Linked DNA regions of Lonchura striata. The protein of the gene in region 1 purifies or fractionates together with the protein of each later gene. This does not show direct contact. Links are inferred from orthologs where the notes say so. Each region holds a gene or a part of one and is shown in the gene's direction. Other genes may lie near its edges.

Region 1 (12,054 bases):
TCATTAAAAGAGGGGCTACAAGAAAGTGCTGAGAAATTACAGTTGAGCTGAAGAGACTGTAGCTAAGGTGAAAATAGACAATGGACAAGTATCTTATAGCTGGAAATAGAGTGAAACTTAGAAACAATTTAGTAACAGCAACAAGTGGGGCTAAAGCATGGCTGTCTCTGCTTGCTGTAACCCATCTGGGCTCTTCTCAGGAACAGTCCGTGAGCACACAGGCCATATGTGTGGCAGTGTCTCAGCTCAGCGAGCTGCTGGTTTGAACTACTCATTTCCTTACAGTCACCGGGGTTACTTGGAGCCAAAGTGATATTAATTTTAATTAGGGTGAATGAAGAAAAAAAATATTTCCCTTTTTTCCACTAAATCCCCCAATTTTCCCTTTTAGCTCCATATAGGAAACTTTACATTAATTTGCCAGTGAATTTCTGTTTGTAGAAAAAGAAGGCAGTGATAAGTAGCCCGTGTGTTCTGGCAGAAGTGTCCACACCTCAAAGGTAGATGTGATTATGCAGAAAGCAGCTTGTAGATGTAGTATCTTGTAAACTGAAGAAGAGAATCAGCAACAAAAAAAAATACAAGGAAGCCCAAGGGAGCACTTCCACAATGCAAATTCAGAAAAGCAAACCTTTAAAGTGATGTCAGGAATTCAAAAACAAATATACTTCATCATCTGAAGTATTTTTATTGAAATAATCTGGTGGGTGATCAATAATAATAATAATAATAATAATAATAATAATAATAATAATACACCACACAATCCAGGCATCTTCAGATGATTGCAAACAGATAACAGGGTTGAATTCCAGCAATGCCTTCCAGGTTTTGAAGTATCCATGAAGAAGTGACCTCTTTGAATGAAATCCTTATCTGGGGCCAAAGCATATCCTGGGCTATACAGGTCTGTGCTGCAATGCAGTCTGCAGTTCTTAGGCCTCACTAGGATGTGGTAGGAATGTTTTCTGGCTTTTTCCTGTCCTGCATGTCTACTTTTTCCACATAGAAATCAGAATACAAAGGGAAGGAGAGGACTGTGCCAGGGCTTGCCCTGGCAGGAGCTGGAAACAGCTGTGGTAAATCCCTGGAGCTGAGCCCCAGCCCAAACCTTGGAATGGGCACCTCTTCCTGCCCACATCCCTCCTGACACCAGAAGCAGAATCACATTGCAGCAGTGCATTTGGTCAGTCATTATGCTGCACCTTGTTATCTCTACAGTGAATCCTGCAGATAAGGTGTTTTCATTCAAGCTTATCTCCCAGAAAGGGAGCCAGTCTGGAGCTGAAGGGAAGGGGAGATGCAGAAGCCATCATTTCCCATTCCTTCAGGTTAAATTGTTTCTGCATAGAGATTTCAAGATTTGGGAATGTAGTGTGTTTGAAGGTATTCATTTCCATCTCCTGTCTAAAAGGCTGTGAGGAATGATTTTTCTTTGACAGGGAGATGCTGAAACCTGAGTTAAAGCAATTCAATTAAGCACTATGAAAATACAGAAAGCCTTTCTACAATGGCTATATGAGGAATTTAGAAAGACTGTGAAAACACCTGAAATAAAAGCACCAGGGGTATACACAAAGTAGGTCAGGTTCTTCTCTCTGCTGCAGATTTAAGAGCCTTCTATTCTTTGATAAAACCTACCTGCCTAATTAGCTCTGCCTCGTCACCAACTCTTAGAGTAGGCAGTGCCTTGACAAAATTGGTTTAAAGAAAAAAAAATAGCATATGTTTTCCAGCATTTTTCAGCTACAACTTCAGTGTGTCATATGCCAAGGTGGGAGATGCTGTTTTGAGAATTAAGAGTTTGACAATTATTTGATTATTTTGATAATTAACATTTGTTTGAAGCATACCTGCATCCGAGTGATTTCTTTCACTATTGGGTTTGTGTACTGACAGAAAGAAGCTTACTCTTACTGTTAAAAAGTAGGAAAAAAAGATGATGACTCTTCTACTTTTTCTATACAATACATCAAAAATAATTTACAGTATAATTAATATGTGAATAGAAAATTTGAACTAGCAAGACAGGCTTGTTATCCTGCTGACTGGTTTAGAAACAGGACCTGTTTTTTCTTCAGGAGCTCTTCCTAAGGATGTCTCTTGGGTCAGAAACTATCTCAGAAGTGAGAACACAGCATCTGATATAGAAATGCCTTGATTCCACCAGGGGTTATGGAAAACTCTCAGGGAAGAACCAAGTCTTGCTGAGCACAGCACAGAGGAGCAGCACAGTTTCTTTGGATTCCTGTGGTTTATTCGTGTTGAGGCATTCCCCTCATCTCATCCCCCTTTTTTCCAGGTGATGGAGTGCCCCTGCAGTCTCAGTCTGCCAGCTGATGGATCACTGTTACAGCTGGACAATGATGCTCCAAGCTGCTGGAACCAAGCAGCTGGGCTTTGCTTGCTGTGGTCCGGGCAGTGCTACCTGGAGCTACACAGATATTGATTCCTTTCTCACTTTTTCCACCTCTCCTCAGCTTTTTGGCAAATTTGCCTCATCCTTCTCGCTTTTAGACAGTGCTGATAATAGATCACTGCAGGAACAGGATTCATTTATCCAAAGCTCTTTAAAGACTGGAAAGGGTGGACTTCAAAGGCAGGAAAATGGGACACGGTGCAGCTGAGCAGGGAAGGGCATGCATTCAGATTAAATGAGCCCTTCTGTATGCAGGCAAAGAAACTGATTTCTGTCTGCCTTTTCTAATGCTGGGCTATAATAGCAAGGGCAAATATAAAATGGGATCTATTTCATTTGAATGGAAAATTTAGAGCTGAGCTAGCAGAAAGGCCACATCCACTGGGGGCAGGGGAGGTGGGCAGGAACACACGGCTGGAATGTGTAACTCCTCTGGTGGCTAAGAGGTCTGGGTCTTCAATCCAAGTTCATGTGCTGAAAAACCCAAATTATTACCTGTGAACCTGCCTCCTGCTGCCTTCATCGGAGGTTCCCTTTTTGTGCTGAAAGAGGAATCCCAGAATTTATCATTTTACTGACTGTTTTATCTTCCCTCAAGCACCTTTCTCCCAGCTGGCAGGTCCAGTCTATATAACTGCTCCACAGATGGAAACTATTCCCTGTGTTTGATCTTCTTTCTCTGAATCTTTTCCAAGTCTGTCTTGGGGGAAGGTGGGTGGAGGTATGAGATGGACAGATGGAAGAAAGATGACCGACCAAAGCTGGAGCATTCAAAATGCGGGTGTGAGAGGCTATGCTGTGGAATCAGTTTTTGCTTTGTTCCTTACCCCTTCTCTAATAATTTTCAATTACTGTTCAGTTGTCCTAAGCATTAAGCTGATATTTTTATCTATCTCTAATAGTTCCAAAATCCTACTCCCAATCTTATTATCTTACCTTGAACCCATCATTTCATAGAAAAATTTGTGAAACATTGCTGCACTTTTATTTACTGATTTTTATCTGCTGTTTCACTGCTTAGCACTCAGACTTATAACATCTGCTGTGCCATGAGGAGAACCCTGCAACTACCTCCTCCCTTCCTTTGTTTCTGCTGTGTGTAGGGACACAGCCTCTTTCTTGGGAAAAAGCTACAGGTGACCACTTACATCCCTCCTACTCCTTCTCTCTGTGTTTTTCTGCCTGGTGTTTTCTGGCCAAATACTGACGCTCTGTAGCTTTATCTGGGCAGTTGTCACCAATAATTGCAGACAAACTCAAATATTCCAATCAGAACTTTCCCTGCATAAATTAACAGGAAAAAAAGTGAGAGGACCTTTATAGCCCTATTGCACTGTCAGCACTCAGGGCCACACCTTCCTTCAGGGCTCAGCCTGTGAAACTGCTGTGATTTTATATTAATTACTGCAGGTCACTTCTCACTTATGATGTCTTAATCCTTTTCTGATTCCTGTTTCTGTTGAAACAACTGCTGCCTGTTTCTTCCCTAGTCTCCCAAACTGAACTTGCAAAAGAATATTACATAGTTGTGTCAGTAACCAGAGCCATAAAATAAAAATAATTAAATGCTTATTTTTAAAGAAAAATAGATTAAAAGTTATCGTCCACTACCCAACACCTTTGTAGGAGAACCACTGAGGTTTAGAACAGAGAGCATTATCTGTCTATGCAAAGCATCTCCTATTGAGTTGTCTACACTGACATGATAAACTTCCTAATTAGGCTATTCCATTCCATCTCTTTTTATGGCTCCCCAGTCTGTAGTATTTTTATGAATAGTTTATGCTGTGGTGTACTTATTAATATGCTTCCACAACCTAAATGGCATAATTATCTTGAAGGTTCAATTAAAAAGTAGGAGGTAGGATTCCCAATTACTGAGTGTGGGAAAGACTCCTATTCTGTTCTCACTGTCTTTCATCTCAGACATAATTGATCTTTCTCCCAAATACAATGCAGCTTTTTGTCCCTGTGGAAGAAGGAGAGAGGTCATGGAGACCTGTGGAGACTACATATAATAATGTCTATTTTTATCTCCACTGTTCTTTAAAGATACAATTAAATTTGTTGTACACTCAAATTGCAGCCACCATGTACACTCTCTTATAGACAAAGCAGAGAAATAAATTATTTTCATTGCTGTTTATTGCAATCGAAAAACAATTTTTCTATTTTGGGGTCATTAGCCAGGCCTTTACAAGTGCATTAGAAGTAAAACAAAATCAATTTACATTTTAATTCTTACAATTGTTTCACTTTGGAAACTTGTAAATAGGTAACACCACTCTTTCAGAATATGTCAGAACATTCTGACAGATATAAATCTGTAATTTAATATTTGTAACTTAAAACTTCAGATAACATTTCCAGGGACAATAATTGAAAATTGTGCCAGGGCTTTATTAGTAGTCTGATTTTCTTCTAGGGAATTATTCACAACAGTTACTGTAAAAATGAGCTTTTGAAACTGGAATATTTTCCATTGTTGCTGATAAATTAGTGGCACTAAAGAATGAATTGTTTTGCCCCATTCAATTTTTTTTCTAGGGAGACACAAAGACAAGTTTTATGTTTTAGCCTTTTCAATTTGACGTATTAGGTGCCGCTAACTGAGGGGACCCATCTATGTTAGTCTCATACCCACATTGCTCCTTTTGTAGTGAATTTGCAGGATTACTGACAAAAAGGCCCATCTTAAGGAAGCTTATTTTGAAAATAATAAACCCATGCATCTATCTACAGTGTTTCTAAAAATATTTTAATGAAATTTTAGTCCATCTCTATATGATTGCTGTTTCCATGAAAGAAAGTCTTGGATCACCCAACTTTTCTCTCTATTAATTATTGGTTAGAGTGTGTGCATGGAGTAATTTCCAGACATCTGTCCTAATTGTATAAACTTTTCCCTTAAAAGATCTGAAAATAGGCATAATTTAAAATCTCAAGGTACTTTCCTTATTAAAATATTCTCAGGATTAGATCATTGGTAAAATAAACAAAATTTAATTTCTTTGGCTCTTTTTATAAAGAATTTATTACAAACAGATTTCAGACTAGGGCATAGTTCAATGATGAAAGTGATAGACCTAAAGCCCTCTTGCTGTTTCGAGACTGCATACAGCATCAATAAAGGTTTTGTGGGATTTGGAATTAATTTAATGGAGTTTTATACCCATGGAATGAGAAAATAAGTCAAGAAGTTCCATGGACCTCTGACATCCCATCTCATCTCCTGACTTGGCTTTTGGAATTGGAGCCCTAAAATTTTGTGTGTGGGAATTCAGAGTGCTGAAGGCCAGTGTACAGCAGGTTGCTGTCTAGGAAAGTGGGAACACTTTTCTTGGGTATCCCTGCAAACAGGGACATTTGAATATCCATTCATTAAAACAATATAACTGCTGGTTGAAGTTCAGCAAATCAGCCTCGGAATGCTGCTGTGCTGGGAGACTTTTCAACAGCAACAGCACTTCAAATATTTACTTACTTATTGCTTCCTGGCCATTAATGGTGGAATACCCAAGAGCCTGTTTGCATTTCCCTCCTGTTCAACAAAGCACACTCATTTGTAGATTTAAATGGGCCACTTTCTCTGTTGTGAACTACGAGGGATTCCAGCTATTTTTGTAAGTCAGGGTGAAAATTGTGTAGTTATGGGAAAAGTTTCAGATTATTTATTTCCTAAGCTTGTTGCTTTGTGTGTCATATGCAAAAAAAAAAAAAAAAAAAAAAAAAAAAAAAAAAAAAAAAAGAATGCATATGAGAGCTGGGTTTGATCACCGACGGCTTGTTCTTCCTGGCATTTGGGATCGAGTTGCTAAATACGGATTTTCATGTTTTAGGTGTCAAAACAGAAGCGGGCTCATTTAGAGTGTTGTAAAGGTTTGCAGCATCACCAAGGTGAGCAGCGAAACCCTGGCACGACCGAACCTCCCGGCAAGGCTGGAGCTCCTCACCGGTGAGAGGACACTACGGTCAGTGGAAATGAGAAGGATTTCGGGCTGTAAGGTCCCGCATCCCGCACGGCACACCAGGAACACATCTCCACCAGCACCCAGCCGAGAGCGCGGCTCTGGCACCACCTGCGGGTGACGCGCCGGTCACACCGCGCGTCTCCCGGGCCCGCCGCCTGTGGCTGCCGGGCGAGCGCAGGGCCGGCAGCGCCGCCATCCCGCTCCATCCCGCTCCATCCCGCTCCATCCCGCTCCATCCCGCTCCATCCCGCTCCATCCCGCTCCATCCCGCTCCATCCCGCTCCATCCCGCTCCCGGCACTCCGCGATCCCGGGCCGGCGAGCGGCTCCCGAGGGGCAGCGGCCATGGCCCCGCCCCCGCGCATGCGCGGCAGCAGCGCGGCAACATGGCGGAGCTGGAGGAGTGAGTGCGGCGTAGGGGGAAGAGTGGAGGGCATGCGGGATCCGCCGCCATCCGCGGGCTGGGGGCGGCCACGGAGCCGGCCCGGGAAGGGGCGGGATGCGGGAATGCGGGATGGGGCCGGGATGTGACCGGGTTGTCCCGCCCGCAGGCCGAAGCGGCGGATCCCGCTGGTGCCGGAGAACTTGCTGAAGAAGAGGAAGGCGTACCTGGCCATCAAGGCCACCCAGGCCAAGCAGGCGCTGCTCAACAAACGCAAGGTACGGCGGGTCCCGGCAGAGCCTGGGCCTGCAGCTCCAGCTCCCCCTCCGGAGAAGGGAACCGCAATTCCTTGAAATTCCTGGGAAATGACCCGAGTGGTCGGGCCCCTCAGAGCGCCGCGGGATTCCGGGGTTCCGAGGGGGACTTGAGTCCCTCAACATCTTCTCCTTTGAGCCTTGTAAAGCGGACAGAATTGTACCGGTTATTACACCGAAACAGAAATATATAGAAGACTGTGAGTTGTTCCTGTTGGATCAGTGGTGGTCAGGTATTTGCAGTCACATGTGGGAAACTGCAGCGCTATCTCTGCTGCCCTGGGATTTCACTGCCTGAAACCACCTTTGTGTTGAAACCCTGCATGGAAGCCGTCCTTTTCTGAGGGCGGCTTTAGAGTTTTCTGTTAGAGCAGCACTGGTCATGATGAAGCCTTTTTCTGCGAGTGGGGTGACACATGTCCTACACCCTGTGCACATCGTGCCATTTCCAGACTAGCAGAGTACAGCAAACCTTTCTAATTCCAAATCTGAGACTTGTTGTGCTGTGTCACAGCTAATACAATAGGTGTCTGTCTTAAAGATTTCCAGTGAATCTTGTGGGATGTGCAAAACTCCTGCCATTTTTGTTTGATACCATGTTTACATTTTTAAAAGCATCAGTGGTTTGCTGTATTTCCAAGGTGGGAGCATAAGCAGTAATATTACATAGCCACTCCTTAAGATTCTCATTAAAAAGGATCTTAGTGATGAGACTTTTATTAGGTCTCCATGCTTTGAAAATTCAAACGAATTTAATGGGTTATTTACAAGGTGAAATAGAACAGAAGACACACAACATTAGATTCTTTAAAGTGGCCAGGTAATTTAACCAGTAGAGTATCTTAAATATCATTGTGTAATGCTGTGCATTTTCAAGTCCTGTTTGTATGAGAAAACACTATGAGTGTTGGTGGATGTACTCATTCCTAAGGTAAAGAGAGACATTTAAATATCTGTTGCCCACATGCCGTTTCTGGCTTTCCCAGCCATTGCTGAGCTCTGTCTGTAGCTATGCCTAGAAGTATCCCAGGTCTTTTCCTTAACTTATACTTTTCCTAGGGAAAAACTCTTTGTTCACTGTTCATAAATAATAGTTGTGTATAAATTCATGTTGTCCCTCAGTTCTGTCTCCCTTGGGCTTAGATAATCAAATTTATTTTTTTACTGCTTCCAAAGCTGTAAGGACATTGTTCACTACTTTGCATTTCATTTGGCCTTTCAGATGCAAACCTCACTTTGTTTTCCTTTTGTCTGCAGCAGCAGAAGGGGAAACAGATCCAGTTCAGGCGCCTGGAGACCTTTGTTCGGGATTCATGGCGCAAACGCCGGGATGACACCCGGCTGAGGCGCATGGAGCAGAGGCCTGGGCAGGCAGTGGCACCTCAGGAGAGCAAGCTGGCCTTCGTCGTGAGGATTGTGGAGTAAGAGCCTTCCCCTACTCCTTCCATTGTTGCTACCCGTTGTTGTGTCGTTTCCATACCAAGGCAGTGGGATCAACCTAGACATGTCTCCTTGCAGGTGATCTGAGGCCTTTAGTTGCTGTATTAGAAAAATGTGGTTACTAATAAATTCTGTTTTCCTCAGTATTAAGGGAGTGACTAAGAGGGTGAAAAGAGTGATTGAGTTGCTGCGGCTGAGGAAGAATTATACCGGGGTATTTGTGAAGCTGAGCCCACTGTCGCTGAAGATGCTGCGCATCGTGGAGCCTTATGTGGCGTGGGGGTACGTGCCCCTCCTGTGACTTGGGGGTCATTGGATTCTCCAGTTGCTATCACAGATCCATTACTTCTCCAATCATGGTCAAAACTTAATCAACTTTGTATTAAAAACTTGCTATTTTCTTTGTTCTGATTGTTCTTGACATAACTTGTGTACTTTCCCACCTCTGCACAAGGAAGTGGTATGGGTGTCCCTCTGCATCATGTCTCTCTGTTACAGGATCTGATTTTTGTTTCTGCACAGACAGCCTAACCTGAAATCTGTACGAGAGCTCATCCTGAAACGGGGCCAAGCCAAGATCAAGAAAAAGAAGGTGCCTCTGACAGACAACATGCTGATAGAGGAACATTTAGGTGAGGAAGAGGGTGAGAAAATTGAGGAAAGGGTTAGGTGTTGAGAGTTTACAGTCTGGCCTGAAAGGGTGGGGACAGACAAAATCTTGTCAAACTGGAGGACTGGCAGTTCTGGAGCAGTGTGAGGAAAGATTATACAGCTGGACATCTTTTTTTTTCCCTCATACAGGGGGCTGTAATATCATTTGCCTGGAAGACCTTATTCATGAAATCTACTCAACTGGGAAGTATTTCAAAAGAGTAACCAGCTTTCTGTGGCCGTTCCACCTGTCAGTGGCTCGCCACGCATCACGGAACAGAGTGGGTTTCCTCAAGGAGATGGGCAAGCCTGGCTACAGAGGTGATGCAATCAACCAGCTCATCCGTCAGCTCAACTAGTCAGGTGAGCAGTGCCTGCTGGGTTAGTTCTGAAGCTTACCCTTCATTCCCTGTCCTAAGGACAACCAGACTGCCATTGAAGATGAATGGGGTGCTCACTTGGTTTTGTCACTCTGCAAAACTGACCTCAGAGTAGGAGAAACTAATCAAGAGTGATCCCTTTAGGATCAGCACATGCAGTTGGACACCTCCATGAAGGCTTGGCTCCTGGGAGATAATATGACTTTATTTTATATTTTCTTCCCTATTCTGCAGGGATTTTGTGAAAACTGGGATCTATGACCTGTTCCTTTTCACATGTACCTTTTGTGGACATTATCTACATGCAGTGATCTGTATGCAACTTCTCTTGATTGCTGGTGCCTCTATAAAAGAAGAAACACAAAGATGATGATGGAGATGGACTTTGGGCTGGCCCTTCTTAAAGAAGATAAATTCTCTTTGGTACAAGAATGAGCTTCTTGGAGCAATTTCACATTTGCATCTCTGTAAAATAAGTGTTTTTTATGCACACTACTACAGACTTCACTCTTTGATGTGCTTCTGGGGGTGAAAGGGGTAGTGCAGTCACAATTGTGCTGATAGGCAAAAGAAAAAAAAGAAAACACCATGCTCTGTTACTGCAGCACAAGCCCTAGCCGTGAATAATGTCACTTGTTAAGTACCTGGATTGTATTTATTTTTTAAAAATTAAGGGTTTGTGGTCCTGATTTAAAGAGCTTTTTTTTTTTTTTGCCTTTTTTTTTTTTTTTTTTCTTTTGCTGTATTGGGACTGCTGGGGAGAAGTATTTCCTGGAAATAAGAAAATGCAAGAAATACAGTCCTGGGATAGGGTATATGTAATCTGTGTTTTTTAAATAAAATTCTGAAATTATATTATTATAACAGAAAGTTCTGCATCACTGTAAAAGAGTGGAAAAACCAGTTAAACACTCTGGCTGGAATGAATTTAGTGAAGGAAGTGAACAAAACCATGTAAGTCTGAAAGTTCCAGAGATTTAAATCCCTAATTTCTTCCACTACAGAAATGGTAAGAACACATGAAAGAGTCCAGTGCTGTTTAACAAATATGGAAGGCAGTGTCATTAGTTCACTGTGACTGTTTAAACTGTTGCTTGAAAACTTAGGTGGGAGCAAAGTGTTAATCCATTAATGGATTTCATACAGAGTCCACACCACATGGAGACTCAGGAAGGAAACAGTTAAGTAACAAGGAGGATGTCTTGGGTGTTGCTTGTGTGACAGTTATAAACTAGAATGTAGCATTCATGGAACCATCTGAAGTACCAAGAACTGTAGACTCTCAATTAGAGAACATAAAACCCGAAGCTTTATTCTGTAACCAAGAATAGAAACATAGAAAACGCTGGACAGACACTACAGACGTACACAGAACAACTGTGTCCCCAGAACCAGAGCCCAGTGGTCATTAAAATAGAAGGCTTCATGTGTTTAAAGTTTTCCTGATAAAACAGCTGCTACCATTGTAGAGTGGTACAAGAATTGTTTGGTTGATTTGTTTTAGGGTTATTTCTGGTAATAAAACAGCCCAGGCTTCTAACATGAAAACTGGCACACTAGGAATGAGATTATTTTAGTTGCTACAGAGAATTTAAGACTGCTAACAGAATGCAGTTTAAGAATAATACAACTCTAGCAACTAATCCTAGATTTAGGCAGTTTTTCTAGCAGAGGCAGTGGTTTAACACACCATTAGTTTAGCTTATTTTACATACAGTAAAGTAAGAATTGAACTATGACCATAAGTACCTTTTTTAAATCTCTTTAAAAATGCCAGGTTAGTCTAGTGTCACAGTATCACAGACATGCACGTTGTCTTTTTGTCATACTTTTATCAAGAGGACAGTAATGATGTGCTCATAGCTTAGCTGCATGATGAACAGAAACTATACAAGGTGACAGGATATTTACACACACAAAACTTGCCCCAGCATCTTAGGGAACAGAATCCTTCTTGTAAGCCACTGTAGTGTTGACCTTGTGGATTGTGGTAGTGAAGGAACGTAGCCGAACCTCTTCTGAATTGGCTATGAACTGCGGTCCTGACTCTTCCCACTTTTCTGGCACTGCCAAATCTTTATCCGTGTAGATCAGCAAGTCAAAGGCACCTGGGAGCAAGGGAAAACAAATTCACCATAAGGACATGGTGGCAGCTTTGAAGTGCAGCTTCTAGACTTAGAGACAAGGATCAAGGTTTTCAGAAGTTACACTGATACTAGTTATGTGAAAAAAAAAAAACCAACCCAAAAGTTACATTAATGTGACATCCTTTTAGTTTTCTCAATAACTAAATTGTGTTGTAATTTTTTTTAAAGCATGTTACAATGCTGTGGAGATGAGCTCTGTATAACATTTCATAGGAGCAAATTATTCATGAAAACTTGCATTCCTCAGGGCAAACACATTAATTTCCTCAAGTTCGTTAAGCCACACCAAGTTCTGTCTTGATCTCATGCTGTCTCACAAACCTGACGGTGCACAATGGGTAATCATTAAAA
Region 2 (12,609 bases), on another chromosome or scaffold:
TCATGGAACTTCCCTCCAAGGCAGCATTTTATGGGGCTAATTACAGCAGGCAAGCTGAGCAGCTAATGATGTCTCTTCCACCAACACATAAACCAATTGCTTCTTGGATTAGGGATGAATAGCCCTGTGTGTTTACTGCATAATTAGCAGAATGTCTTATCTAGAGGGCATTGGATGCACAGACAGAAGAGTAGATTTTTGGAGTCCATCCAACACACCGAGAACAAAACTCTCTTCTGAGAAAAGCTCACTCTGCTGTTTGGGACAATATGTTTTTTTCTAGCGTTATTTCCCCTGACCCCTGTGGTGCAGACCACCTGCCAGGGGCTCACCTGGACTCCTCAGTCACTTACTCTGCACCTCCCCATGACACACAGATGGAGATTCCCGTGGTGCTCCGTGTCATCCTGCTCACACCTGGTTCCATCCAGGAAACTGTCCCCACGGCTCACCATGAACTCCTTGCCCACAGCCCTGCACATGTGCTTGCAGAGCAGGTCCCCTGGAGCAGGAAGGCACAAGGAAGGAGTTACTCTTTCAGGAAGGCACATGGCTGCTCACCAGGCAATGGGAAAAAACCCAGAGAGGTTGTGGACTCTCATCCCTGGAAGTGTCCAAGGCCAGGCTGGACAGGGCTTGGAGCAACCTAGGATAGTGGAAGATGTCCCTGCCATGGTGGGATGAGTTTTAAGGTCGCTTCCAACCCAAACCATTCTGGGATTCTATGATCTCTCAGAAAGCACCCAGGTTTCATGTGAAAACTAAAACACTCAGTGAAACAGCCTTTTCATTCCAAAGTACAGAGGCCCATGAGCACAAACTGAGGTTCCAGACATTCCTTACCTTTGGCAAAGCCAACAGCAGAGGTCCAGGTATAAAAGGATGGTGTTTCTACATCAAGGTACAGTGGCTTTAAATTTGTTGCTGCACATTGTTCAGCCATGAAGTCCTGCTGGGTCATCAGACAGGCCTGGATCCCAGAGAGATAATTGTGTAAGGAAAGGAAGTGACTGAGCACTGACATTCAACCCTCAAGCTAAAGGCAAAATGCACTGGCTGGTGATTAAAACACCCAAACAACTGCAAAGAAAGAAAACCACTTTAAAGGAAGGCTGCAGGATATGCAGAGAATTGTGCTTGGAAGCTGATATCTTTGCAATTTATACAAAATAAATAGATAAGGAAAACAGGAACAATATAAGAAAGCCCATCTGAAGAAAACCATCATTGTGAGTCTCTATTTTCTCAGCATCTGTCCTGCTATGGGGCATAGAGAAAATGCTTCATTACATGTGAACAAGGCTATTAAATAATCCTGCTGCCTTCCATGGCACAAATACCTCTCCTGCTGTCAGACAGATGGAGCCTGTATACCAGACCTTTACCAGAGCAGTCAGCTGTGGGAAGGACAGTCACAAAACACCCAGCCCTCAAAGGGCTCAACAGTAAGACAGAAGTTCAGATGATGCTGAGCTCCATTACCTGTGTATTGCACATCTCTGCTTGCATGCTGGCCCCGTGGCACTCCTGCCCTCCAAAAGCAGGCCTGGAAATGACAGAATTCCTCAACAGAGGCAGGTTTGTCCCAGGCAAAGAGGAAGAGGCAGCCCCGAGGCCCTGGGCACAGGCAGGTCCCCACGTCTCACCTGGGGTTGTTACAGAAGCGCTGCCTCAGCACCACCCCCCCGCCGCAGCTGCGGGAGCAGGGGGAGAGGGGGCTCCAGGCAGACCAGTGCCCATGGACCACAGCCATGGGGTTCAGTTCCTCCAGAGAGCTGCACTGACCCTTGGAGCACCACTAGGATCAAGAACACACAGAACTGGCAGCAGTGAGCACAGCAGGGCTGGGATCTAAAAGGTTGGCACGAGTCCCCATCTTTGGCAGGCCAGTAACAGAGTCCTGGGGTGAATGAGGCACCTTTTGACAAGAGGCTGAAGAGTCCCCTTCCTAATTAGGGTCTAACATGAGGCTGGGGTCAAAGCAAAGAGCAGGCAGGGCATTTCCAGTAGGAGAGCTCAGGTATCAGGCTGTAGAACTGCAAAGCAACTCCAGAGATAAAGACAAGATGGAAAGACCAAGATCAGGACATAATGGCACCAGTTTAGGACTCGTTTTAGCTCCCTGGCCAAGGGGCAGTGAGTGCCAGGTACCTTCCAGACACTGACAGAGCTTTTCTGTCTGAGCCCCACAGCCCCCACACCCACTCCTGGTGGGAGCCTCCTTACCTTGTTGATCCCACACTCAGTTCCATCCAGGAGGGGAACCAGAAGCCGAGTACAGCTGGATTTGTCTGCTGGCTGTACATGGCATGAGAGAACTTTACAGATGTCCTGGTGTGACAAGAAAATCAGAGAGTTCAGGGAGTCAGGCTCAACAACACAGTCCCAAAAGTCTAAACAGGGCACATCCCAGGTTTTCTCCCAGACACCCAAAAATGCAAGTTCCTTCACTTTTCCTGCTATTGGGCAAAAGCTGTGGGCAAGTCAAAAGATCATCACTGTAGTGATCACCAGCTGCAATGCTGGAAGATGATCAACTGAAGCAATTAAATTTTCACCCACCTTAGTGTTTTCTCATTAACAAAACATGTCCAGATGGCAGCTATTAAACACGCTGTGCTTCCCAGACAAAGGGATTTCAGCCATGGCAGGGAAGCTGGAGGAATCCAGTGAACAAGAATTCCCCAAGGCAGGACCCTGAGTGGGTGCACCCAGCACTGCCAGCTGTGCACAACAGCACCCAACTGTGTAAACCTTACAGGAGATTTATGTGGAGGAAGGAGGTGATGAAGAGAAGGGAAACATTTTGAAAGCTTTGCCAAGAAAAGCACCTTCAATCCTTTCAGAATAAAAATGCTGCCAGCCAGTTCTCCCGAATTTTGGCTCCTGAACATTTCCCTGCTGCCTTTAGCAAGACAGACAAACTTTCTACCTACAACATTGGTGTCAGCAAAGGTGCAAGCTGTGGCCACACTCCCAAAGGCAATTTTACACTGCTCATCTGCTCCATAGTACAAGCCAGGCTTCCACCCCGGGATGCTGCCGTCCATGTCCGGCAGGTCATTCAAGCAGCTTGTTTGGCCTGTACTGATAAAAACATGAGGAATAACTTTCCCAGCTGTGGGTAGTGAGGACAAGGACATGCTTGCAGACTTGTGCTGAGTTTCACTCTGGGAGTTGGCTGCTGCTTTCCCAGACAACATATGCTTGCTGTGGGCTGGGATGGATTTAGTTGCAGCAGCTGCCTGGAGATGTTCACAGTTCCCTGCTGCTGGAGTTCTATCCCATTCCTGTCCTGCACCCAGCCAGCACAGCCTGCAGTGCCTGGATGCTCTGATGTTGTAAATAAAATGTGCAGGCTGAGCCAGTGTCTGAGAAATCCAACCCAGCCCAGGCATGTTAGGCACCAACCAAAGCCACTTCAGCAACATGAAGCAAAAACTGGGTTTAACCTCAGCAACAAGTGCTAAGAAATAAACAAACCCCAAGCTTTTTACTGTTCCTCATTTTTCAATAAACTTTTTTCTTCACTGAGTTTTTCTCTCCTAAGCCCCCAGCATAGGGAACTGAAGAACTCAACCATTCCCTTACCTGACAAGGGCCAGGAACTGCTCCCGGCTGCACGGAGACCAGGTGAGGTCGATGCTGTTGTGGTTTCCTGCTGAGCCCATGATGTAACCACTGCTGCTGCACACATTCCCCTCTCCATCGTGGGCAATGCCAAGGCTGTAACAGAAGCAGAACAGAGCCCTGAGGAGAAGAAACCCAGAGGCTGGATTCCCTCAGAGCCTCCCTTCTCTAAGCAAGGACTGAGCTCCCTCTGCAGCCCTTCCTTCTACTGTTGTCACAAAGGGTTTCTCTCCTCTTTGCAGCTTCCAGTTGTCACAGGACATGCAGGAATGCAAGAAATCCAAAGAACTCTTTCGAAAATAATCTGTGATGATGACCCAAAGGGTTAGAATAATCCATGGGGAATTCCCTTTTATGTCAAGAGGTCCTTTTGCTTCTTTCTTAAACTGGAGGGTGTTTTACCCTGAATAAAACCTACTGGGCTGCTCTGGCAGTCTCCTACTGACCTGTGCCCAATCTCATGGGCTATGGTGACTCCAAGGTCAAAGCCAGTGTCCTGGGTAATGACACAGCTCCAGAAGGAGGAGCAGACTCCCCCTAACTGAGTCACTCCACGAAGTTCCTTGTTCCCATCAGGCAACTCCAGGTCAAACCTAAAGTAAGGGAGACATAAAGAGGAAAGAGCAAAGAACCCTCACAGCTAAAAAAGTCAGACAGCTGAATTTATCTGAGCTTTGCCAGCTATCCAACATTTCTTTTGACATGAGTGCCCACTGCTCCAATTTTATGAGGATTCCGCATTAAAAAACCAAATGTCCTCAGACAAGCAGAACTGAATAAAACAACCTAATCCTATTTCCCAGTCCCTCCCAGGGCAGGGAGCTCAGCACCTGGTGATGTAGAGGACAATGTCAGCATGCTGGGGGTCAGAGTCGTTCTGGGGGTTCACCTTCTTGCTCCACTCACAGACACTGATGAGGGAGGAGGTGATGTTGGTGGTGATGTTCACCTCTGCCTGGAGGGAAGGCACACGTTGGCACATTCTAAACAGCTTGGAGCTTGGGCAAGCCTCAAACACAGCCCTCCCCTTACCTCTGGCTCTCTCAAAACCAGCATTTGCATGAGGTGAACTCTGAAATGAGCCCCCAGTGAGGCATCTCTGAGCAGCTCTGCTCCCTAAGAAGAGACAGAAAGGATTCAATAAACAATGAGCCTTAGGGACTCCCAAGCCCAGTTCCCAAGAACTGGGCTGCACTCATTACAAAGATAACTACAACACTAACATATGCACTACAAATGTTAAAAAATCCGTCAGGAGGTGAGAAGTGGTTAGATTTGTCAGATACTCTGAAGCAGAGAGAAGAATCTGCATGAAAAGTTTCACAGGGTAGAGTGAATGCTAAAGGCTTTTCTGCTGTACACACAGAGAAAAATTCTTAATAACAGCAAAAAAAGAGACATGAAAATTCTGCAACAGAAATACAACAGTGCAATGTGAAACATAAAATGGATTCAGTGGATTTAGCTCAATCCCACTGAAAGCAACAGGGTGAGAAAACTCTTTACCTGTGTTGCAACATTAGTAATTAAATTAAGAGCTACATTTTCTCTGTGGGTTTTAAATCCTCTAAGATCTTCTTTTACTATTATACAAGGGAATTTGGGGGATTTCATGCCCAGGGAAGCACAGAGGAATGCCCTGCACATGAGCTCTGTGCCAGGGACAGGTGACCCCAAGCACCCTGAGGTGCTGCCTGGGGCACAGCCTGGGACAGGATCCCAAGCACAGAGCCACTCACAATGTTCAGGTTGGCCAGGATGTAACGCTCCGTGTCCTCTCTGTGGTACAAGTAAACATCTGGCCCTGCCACCACCATCAGCTCCAGATGTTTGACAGCTGCCTCAGCCCTCTTGCGCAGGCGAGGAGGAGCCCACCCTGCTGGACAGCACAGAGGGACACCAGGAGGTTCAAATGCACCATGAAAGGTCCTACAGATCCACTCCCTCTCCCCAGAGGCTGCAATAACTCAGCTGCAAGTCCACCTCTGCAGGGGCTTGCTCAGCTTTCCCACTTCTGGGGGTGTTTTTCACCTGCCAGCAGCTTTAGCAACACAACTGTGCTATCAAAATAACAACCAGCCACATCAGACACGCCAGGCACACCTCGGCGAGGCGAGAAACCTTTCCAAGTCTACTCGTGATTTTGTAAACACAGATTTTTCCTCTGAGCTCATGGAAGCAATGCTCCAGGAGACAGCTTTTCCAGCAGGGCTCCCTCTCCATGGCTGTTACCTCTGGCTGGCTTTGCCTCTCTTGCAGCACTTTTGAAGAGGATGTGGGGACTGGAGAAGCCGAGGTCCTTCAGCAGAGCCACATCTTTGCTCCTGACTGGCCTGATGTGAACCTTCTCCTCACCCACGGTGACCACTCCTCGCTGAAGCAGACAAAATTGCACCTCTGTGTTATTCCAAAGATATTTGCTACCCATGGGGATGGCAAAGGTTTATTCAGTGGATGGTTCACACACGTTTGGTGCATGAAGCTGCCAACCCCAGAGGCTGCTCCTGCTCATACTCACCAGCTGCCCTTCACAGAAAGTGACTCTGCTCCTGGCCCCAGGAGGCTGCAGGGCTTTTCCACCTGCAAAGCAGCTCCTGGGGAATCTCTTCAGTAAAATAAAGGAAGAGTTCACCACCTGGCTGCTCACAAAGGAGGAGGAAAGGAGGGCGTGGTCCTCTAGGAATTCAAAGGCATAGAGCTGCCCCCAGGCCTGGATGGAGCAGTGCTGGACCCGACAGGGCCTCAGCCCAAAATGTTCTTCTTTACAAGGGCAAGCGGGCTCAGCCACCACAAACTCAGGTACTGGAAGAAATGAAACACGACCAGAACAAGGGGAGCAGTTATGAGAAAGGATGCTACACAAATCCCCAGTGTAAGGTTTATTTCCCCAGGAAAAATACCCTAAAAATGACAGCTGTGGCCTCTTGGGCTCATGGTGGCAACAGCCATTCACAGAATTTCTGTGCTTTTGTGTATTCTAAAGTGAGGATAATCTGACTGGGAACACACACAGAAACTGGCACTGAATTTATTGCAGCTTTTGCTCTCTCAATAAGGAGAACACTTCATCTAAAAAAGGGCTGAGTTTTTTTCCTGCAGCTTTTAACTATTACTGAGTGGGAATTATCACAATGCAAAGACACTGGGATGAGCACTAGGTGAACTCACAAAGAGACAACACCCTTCCTTTAGGGATTTGAGACTTCAAAACATCTTTATTCTGAACTATCATCAATCAATCCAGACCCAGAATTCAAATCTCTTTGTGCATTTATTTTAAAAAATAATAATAATAATTAACATGTATTTAAAGTTATCCTTAGTCTAAAGCTTTTGCCAGAAGAAAAACACCCATACAGAGAATGGGGAGTGCAGCAGAAATGTGCAAAGAGGTTGGACACATCTCCTTGAGGGGATCTGAAACTCTGAGACATCTCTCCATCCACTCACACTGAACCCAAGTTGTCTCACTTGCACTCAGAAACACCAAATGCTGGTCATTTCAGGGGTTGTTAATCTGTTGTTAATTAGCACTGCCAACCACACAGGGTTACAAACCACCGGCCAGATGTGCTCTAAACCGGGGGACACTGAGCCCTGCATACCATCAGGCACTGAGCTGGTTCCAAAGTAAGACAGAACATCTTCCCCATCCAAAGCGCCGAGGAATTTCTGCAAGAAGAAGAAAAATAAGAGCAAAAACAAATGGCCACGAGGCCATCCCTGCGCTGGAGCTGACCTGGAAGGAACAACAGCAAACAGCTCAGCAGTCCCAGAGCCAAACCCTCACGGCTTTACTCCACGAAGGAGCAGCTCCATCTTCCTGATTAGCGAGCGCGGACGGAGTTTGGCTTAGAAGCGGGTCGTCTCTTCTTATTTTTATTTTTATAGATTTTTGTTTGTTTGTTTTAGGTTTTCTCGGCCGCGCTGCTGAAGGGCCGCCCGGAGGCCAGACTCACCTCAGGGAGCCAGCACAGCCCCAGCGGCAGCACGGCGAGCGCCCGCAGCGCCCAGCTCACGCTCATGCCGGACCGGCCGAGCCCTCCCGGCCGAGCACCGAGAGCTTTGGCCCCAGGCCTCACGTGGAGCGGAAGGGAAGAGCAGAACCAGCCTTTGAGCAAACAAACAGCGACTGGGCAAACAAACAGCGCCCGAGCAAACGCGCCCCGGGCCGGCCCGCGGGGGACGCGCCGGCAGCTGCGGCGCGGCCGCCCTCGCGCAATGCCCGCGGCTTCTCCAGCTTGTGCGCCAGCCCCGCGGGCCGAGGGGCGGCTCGGGGGCCGAGGGGCGGCTCGGGGGCCGAGGGGCCCTGCGGACACGCCCGTGGTTACATGGAGGGGGGACGGTCACCCCGCGATCCCCCAGCCCCGGAACGCTGGAACCGCCGCCCCCTCCGCCCCGGAACCCAAGCGCGGGCCGGAGTTCCCCGGCGGGGCGGTGCGGCGCTGGGCCGGTCCCCCTGCGGGAGCGCCGGCCCGGGTGAGACTCGCTGCGCCGCGATCCCGATCCCGATCCCGGTTCCGCTGACCCTGCATGGCCAAGCAAAGTCCTGCGGAGCCTCCGGCGGCGGGGCCGAGCGGTGCGGCCCGCGGGAAGGGCAAGAAGAGGAGGAGGAAGAAGAGGAAGGCCCTGGGGGAAGCGGCGGGCGCCTCGAAAGGCCCCGGCATGGCGGCCGCGGGTCCCCCCCGCAACCCGCAGGAGTTCTCCTCCAACTGGAAGGCGCTGCAGGAGGTGAGGGGGACCGGGGCATGCGGTGGGGACAGCCCCGGGGAGCTGGGACAGGGAGGCAGCGGGGCCATGCTGGCAGCAGCGCCTGAATGGATGGGACACACTGTCCCCATGGAAGGGACACTTTCCACTGTCCCAGCCCGGCCCTGGGCACTGCCAGGGACCCAGGGGCAGCCACAGCTGCTCTGGGCACCCTGTGTCAGGGCCTGCCCGCTCTCACTGAGAAGGATTTCTTCCCAATGTCCACCTAACGCAGCTCTCTGGCAGTTTGAAGTCATTCCCTTTGTCCTGTCACTCCAGGCTCTTGTGAATAGTTCCTCTCTCCCTTTCTTGGAGGCTCCATTTAGGCACTGGAAGGACACAATTAAGTCACTCTAAAGCTTCTCTTTTCCAGGCTCTTTTCCTTTATCTATCTTTTTATTTTATTTTTTTAATGTCATTTTAGCTGCTGAAACAAAAGGCAAATAACTCCAAGAAGCCCATCTCCACGGGTCAAACAGACACCAAAAAGAAGCAGCCACTCAAAGCAGCCAAAAACCCAGAAATCCCAGCAGTCAATGGGAATGTGGTAAAGGCCAAATCCACAAATAAAATGGACAGTGGTTCTGCTAAAGCCAGTCCTCCTTTGGCCAAGCCAGAATCCAAGGGGGTTGCAGCAAAAAAGAACTTAAATTGCACTAAAAGCAATGAGAAAGGCTGCAAAGAAAAGAAGAAAAATGGCATTGTTGTGAAGGAGAAGGATGAGCTGAAACATAAGAGGAGGAAAGCTGAGGAACACGTGGAGCAGCAGCCCAAAGAGTGAGTATTTCAGGCAGCAGCTCTGGATGAGAGTATTTATTTTGGGAAGAGCACAGAGAGGTATATTCCAAACAGCTACACTTTTCCAGACTAAATTCTGAAAGAAATAAGGAACATTTTGCCCCTGCTCCTCAGACACAGCAAGAAACCTGTAGAGGTGCCAGTCACGGACTTAAATTTCACAGGATTTAACTCTTGGTTTAGAAAGTAAACATACTTTTTGTACAACAGACACCAGATTGCTTTGAGGCTGTTAAATGTAATTAAATCTGTTCTTCCCAGGGCTGACATCTGGTTTGATGATGTTGATCCCAAAGATATTGAAGCAGCACTAGGACCTGAAGCAGCAAAAATTGCCAGAAGGAACCTGGGACTTGAAGCAGAACAATCCCAGTCTGTGGAGCAGGTGCTGGTTAAGGAAAAGGCTTTTGAAGGGTGAGTGACACTGCAGGGGGAAGGATGGCAGCAGAGTGTGAGAAATGGAAAGATAGAAACTGCCAGAGACACTGGCAAAAGTTTGATCTGTAGCCTTAGAAGAAGCTTAGATTAATGTAAAACTAAAGTACACAGACATTAAGCAGAAAAACTTATGTTTCTATAAACTCATAAACTTATGTTTCTCTAGTTGTAAGAGTATACCTTAAGTAAAAAACTGTATTAATAAGATAGTGAAGGGTTTATCATGTAAGAGTGTAATTGTAGAGAGTAAGCTAAGAGTTTAGTGGTTATAATAGAAACGTGTGTGCACGTGATAACAGCCCATTAGATAAAAGTATACACATTGCAGTAGAAATAAGTAATAGAAAAGCAAAATAAACTTTGTAGCAACTGTCCATTAGATTAGAAAGTTATATATTGTCTTGTAATGAAGAACTTATAACTACTCTTGAGCTATAACTGCTTACTCTCATAAATCTCACAGCCTCTGAGACTAATGTTTATCTGAATAATAAATTGTTTTTAACCTGTCTCTAGTCCCATCCCTTCAATTAAACAGCAATAATAATGATATCAGCTGGCAGACTGGCTTCTGATAAGGGATCTGCACAGTGAGCTGCCATCTCCCTGCCTCTGCTGCCAGGCTCTGCCCTGCTCACACAAATGTGAACCTTGTCAGCTGCAGCTGGGCCTGCAGAGGTGTCCCCAAGCTGTCCCTTTGCCTTCCAGGCTGACCCGGGCCGTGGCCATGGACTGTGAGATGGTGGGGGTGGGCCCCAAGGGTGAGGACAGCATCTTGGCTCGGGTGTCCATCGTTAACCAGTTTGGGAAGTGTGTTTATGACAAGTATGTCAAGCCCACGGAGAAGGTGACAGACTACAGGACAGCTGTCAGCGGCATCCGGCCTCAGAATATCAACACAGGTACCAGGACTTTCCCCTGAGAGGGAGAATTCACTGGGTTCTCACAGAAGATTCATTGGCTGAGCTTGGAACAGTTTGAGACCTAATTTGGGAAAACAAAATGCTGAGATTTGAGTTAAACTTAATGCTAAGAAAAATTGTGGGAAGATGTACTTTTCTACAGTGATCACTAACATTTTTGAAGAAATTAACTGGTGAAATATGGTGTAAAAAAATAACTTCCTTTTCATGCTGTGCTCTTTATAGAATTCTCTATACCCTTGAAGGAATTAACTGGTGGAATATAGTATAAAAGTTCATTTTCTTTTTATGCTGTTCTCTTTATGGAATTCTCTATGTTCTAGCAAGCAGAAATTCAGTGTACTGTACAAAAACTACAGTTCCAAGGATACAGTTGCTTCCCAGAAAAGATGCTGTGATTGCTCATGGAAAGTGTTTCCTTGTGTGGCATTTTTAGGTGAAGACTTTAAAACTGTTCAGAAGGAGGTGGCTGAGATCCTGCAAGGAAGGATTTTAGTTGGACACGCCCTAAGGAATGACCTAAAGGTAAATTGAAAATGAGGTTTGTGATACATCATTCTGGATCAAGGGAACACACCTGAGCTGGAAACCTCCCCCCATCTAGATGAGCTGGGTCTTGTCCTTTCATGGCTTTAAAGTATCTCTTACACTGGTTGGGAGGAAACAACAGCATTCAACTCTGTAAGGTTTCATGCAATAACACATTTAACTGAAAATGTGGTTTCTTCTAGGTTCTACTTCTTGATCATCCTCACAAGAAGATCAGGGACACACAGAGATACAAACCTTTCAAACAGAGAGTCAAGGTAAGAGACTGCTGGGAAGGTGCTCAATTAACAGACTCCAGAGCTGCTGACTCACTTCTGTGCTTACTTTTACCTGACCCTGTTCCTTCTTTCCTACCTATGCACACACAGATCTCCTAATTCATTAATTATTCCTGGTATTTCGCCAGCAGAGGCTAAGATGTGCTATTCTTTGAAGAATATAACATTTTTATAGAACACCCATCTGTGTTATTTCAAGTCCTGTGAGACAGCATGGTTTGTGATGTGTTCTGTCTCTAGAGTTCCAGGCCATCCCTGAAGCTGCTGTGTGAGAAGCTGCTCAATGTTCAGGTGCAGACAGCAGAGCACTGCTCGGTAGGTGCCTCCTCAGATCATCCAGCTCTGGGTTCTGGCCAGTGCTGTGCCTTCATCCCACTGAAACTCAGCAAGCTCTGCTTGGACAGCAGCAGCAGGGAGGTTGTCATCTAAGCTCGCTCACTGTTCATTCATTTTGTAAACAACTTCTGCACAAGTTAACTCTTAACTCTGAATTCTTGTTAAAATTCCCAGGGGGAAAGGTAATGATCAAGATCTGTTTACCCTAAAAGCAGCATTCTGCACTGCTGCACTGTGGCAGGATAAACAGTGAGAGAGGCTACACCTGAACCTCAGCAGATCCTTTATTTCAGTGGGCAGGAGGATGGAAAAGAGGAATGAACTGGGGAAGCAAAATTGGGAGGGGAGCTCATAGATACTGTGTCAATGACAAAATTCTCTTACTACTTTCCAAGTAACAATCAGAAATGCAGAGCCTTGTGGTGAGCCCTGGACTCTAAATACACAATTTGTCCCTTTCAGTAGGCACAGACCTAAATGTAAAAAGAGATCATGAAATGTTAATTGGAAGGATGTATTAAAATGATGGAAGATTTAGCTGCTTATTATCTCACATCCTTGTCTGGTCTATTCTCTTTCAGATCCAGGATGCACAAGCAGCTATGAGACTTTACACCCTGGAGAAAAAGAAATGGGAAGCTGCTGTTAAGAACAAAGCTAACAACAAAAATTGTAAAACTTAAAAACACAGGGTAGAATCTTTCATCTCTGCAGCATTTGCTGGTTTGATGTCACATTCCAAATTTAAAGATAAGTCAGAATTGACAGCAGCCGCTTCATAAAATCAATCCAAAGACAATGGTACAGTAACCTGGAAGTTCAGGAGTGCCGCTGGTATCCCTGTGGATGGGCCCTGTGCCTGATGTCTGCTACTGTGTTCAAACAACCTTTGTAACAAATGCCTGCAG

Evidence for each region.
Region 2: the proteins of RPL7L1 (region 1) and REXO4 purify together in Homo sapiens (affinity purification with mass spectrometry; 3 studies listed by BioGRID and IntAct, with this or other methods). This does not show direct contact. The link is inferred for Lonchura striata from reciprocal best matches to the Homo sapiens genes RPL7L1 and REXO4.

The regions. Positions count from the first base shown.
Region 1 is NC_134606.1:70,020,427-70,032,480, reverse strand, and holds RPL7L1 (ribosomal protein uL30-like), read left to right. Parts: upstream 1-6,734; 5' UTR 6,735-6,775; coding exon 6,776-6,792; intron 6,793-6,940; coding exon 6,941-7,049; intron 7,050-8,342; coding exon 8,343-8,506; intron 8,507-8,669; coding exon 8,670-8,807; intron 8,808-9,047; coding exon 9,048-9,157; intron 9,158-9,326; coding exon 9,327-9,535; 3' UTR 9,536-9,539; intron 9,540-9,790; 3' UTR 9,791-10,409; downstream 10,410-12,054. Other genes in the region: MAD2L1 (mitotic spindle assembly checkpoint protein MAD2A), read right to left, coding at 11,492-11,664.
Region 2 is NC_134624.1:7,755,021-7,767,629, reverse strand, and holds the start of REXO4 (RNA exonuclease 4), read left to right. Parts: upstream 1-8,046; 5' UTR 8,047-8,163; coding exon 8,164-8,361; intron 8,362-8,803; coding exon 8,804-9,156; intron 9,157-9,438; coding exon 9,439-9,591; intron 9,592-10,323; coding exon 10,324-10,517; intron 10,518-10,974; coding exon 10,975-11,063; intron 11,064-11,269; coding exon 11,270-11,344; intron 11,345-11,605; coding exon 11,606-11,680; intron 11,681-12,282; coding exon 12,283-12,384; 3' UTR 12,385-12,609. Other genes in the region: ADAMTS13 (A disintegrin and metalloproteinase with thrombospondin motifs 13), read right to left, coding at 354-502, 844-970, 1,483-1,546, 1,647-1,798, 2,227-2,331, 2,937-3,087, 3,592-3,726, 4,077-4,223 and 7 more.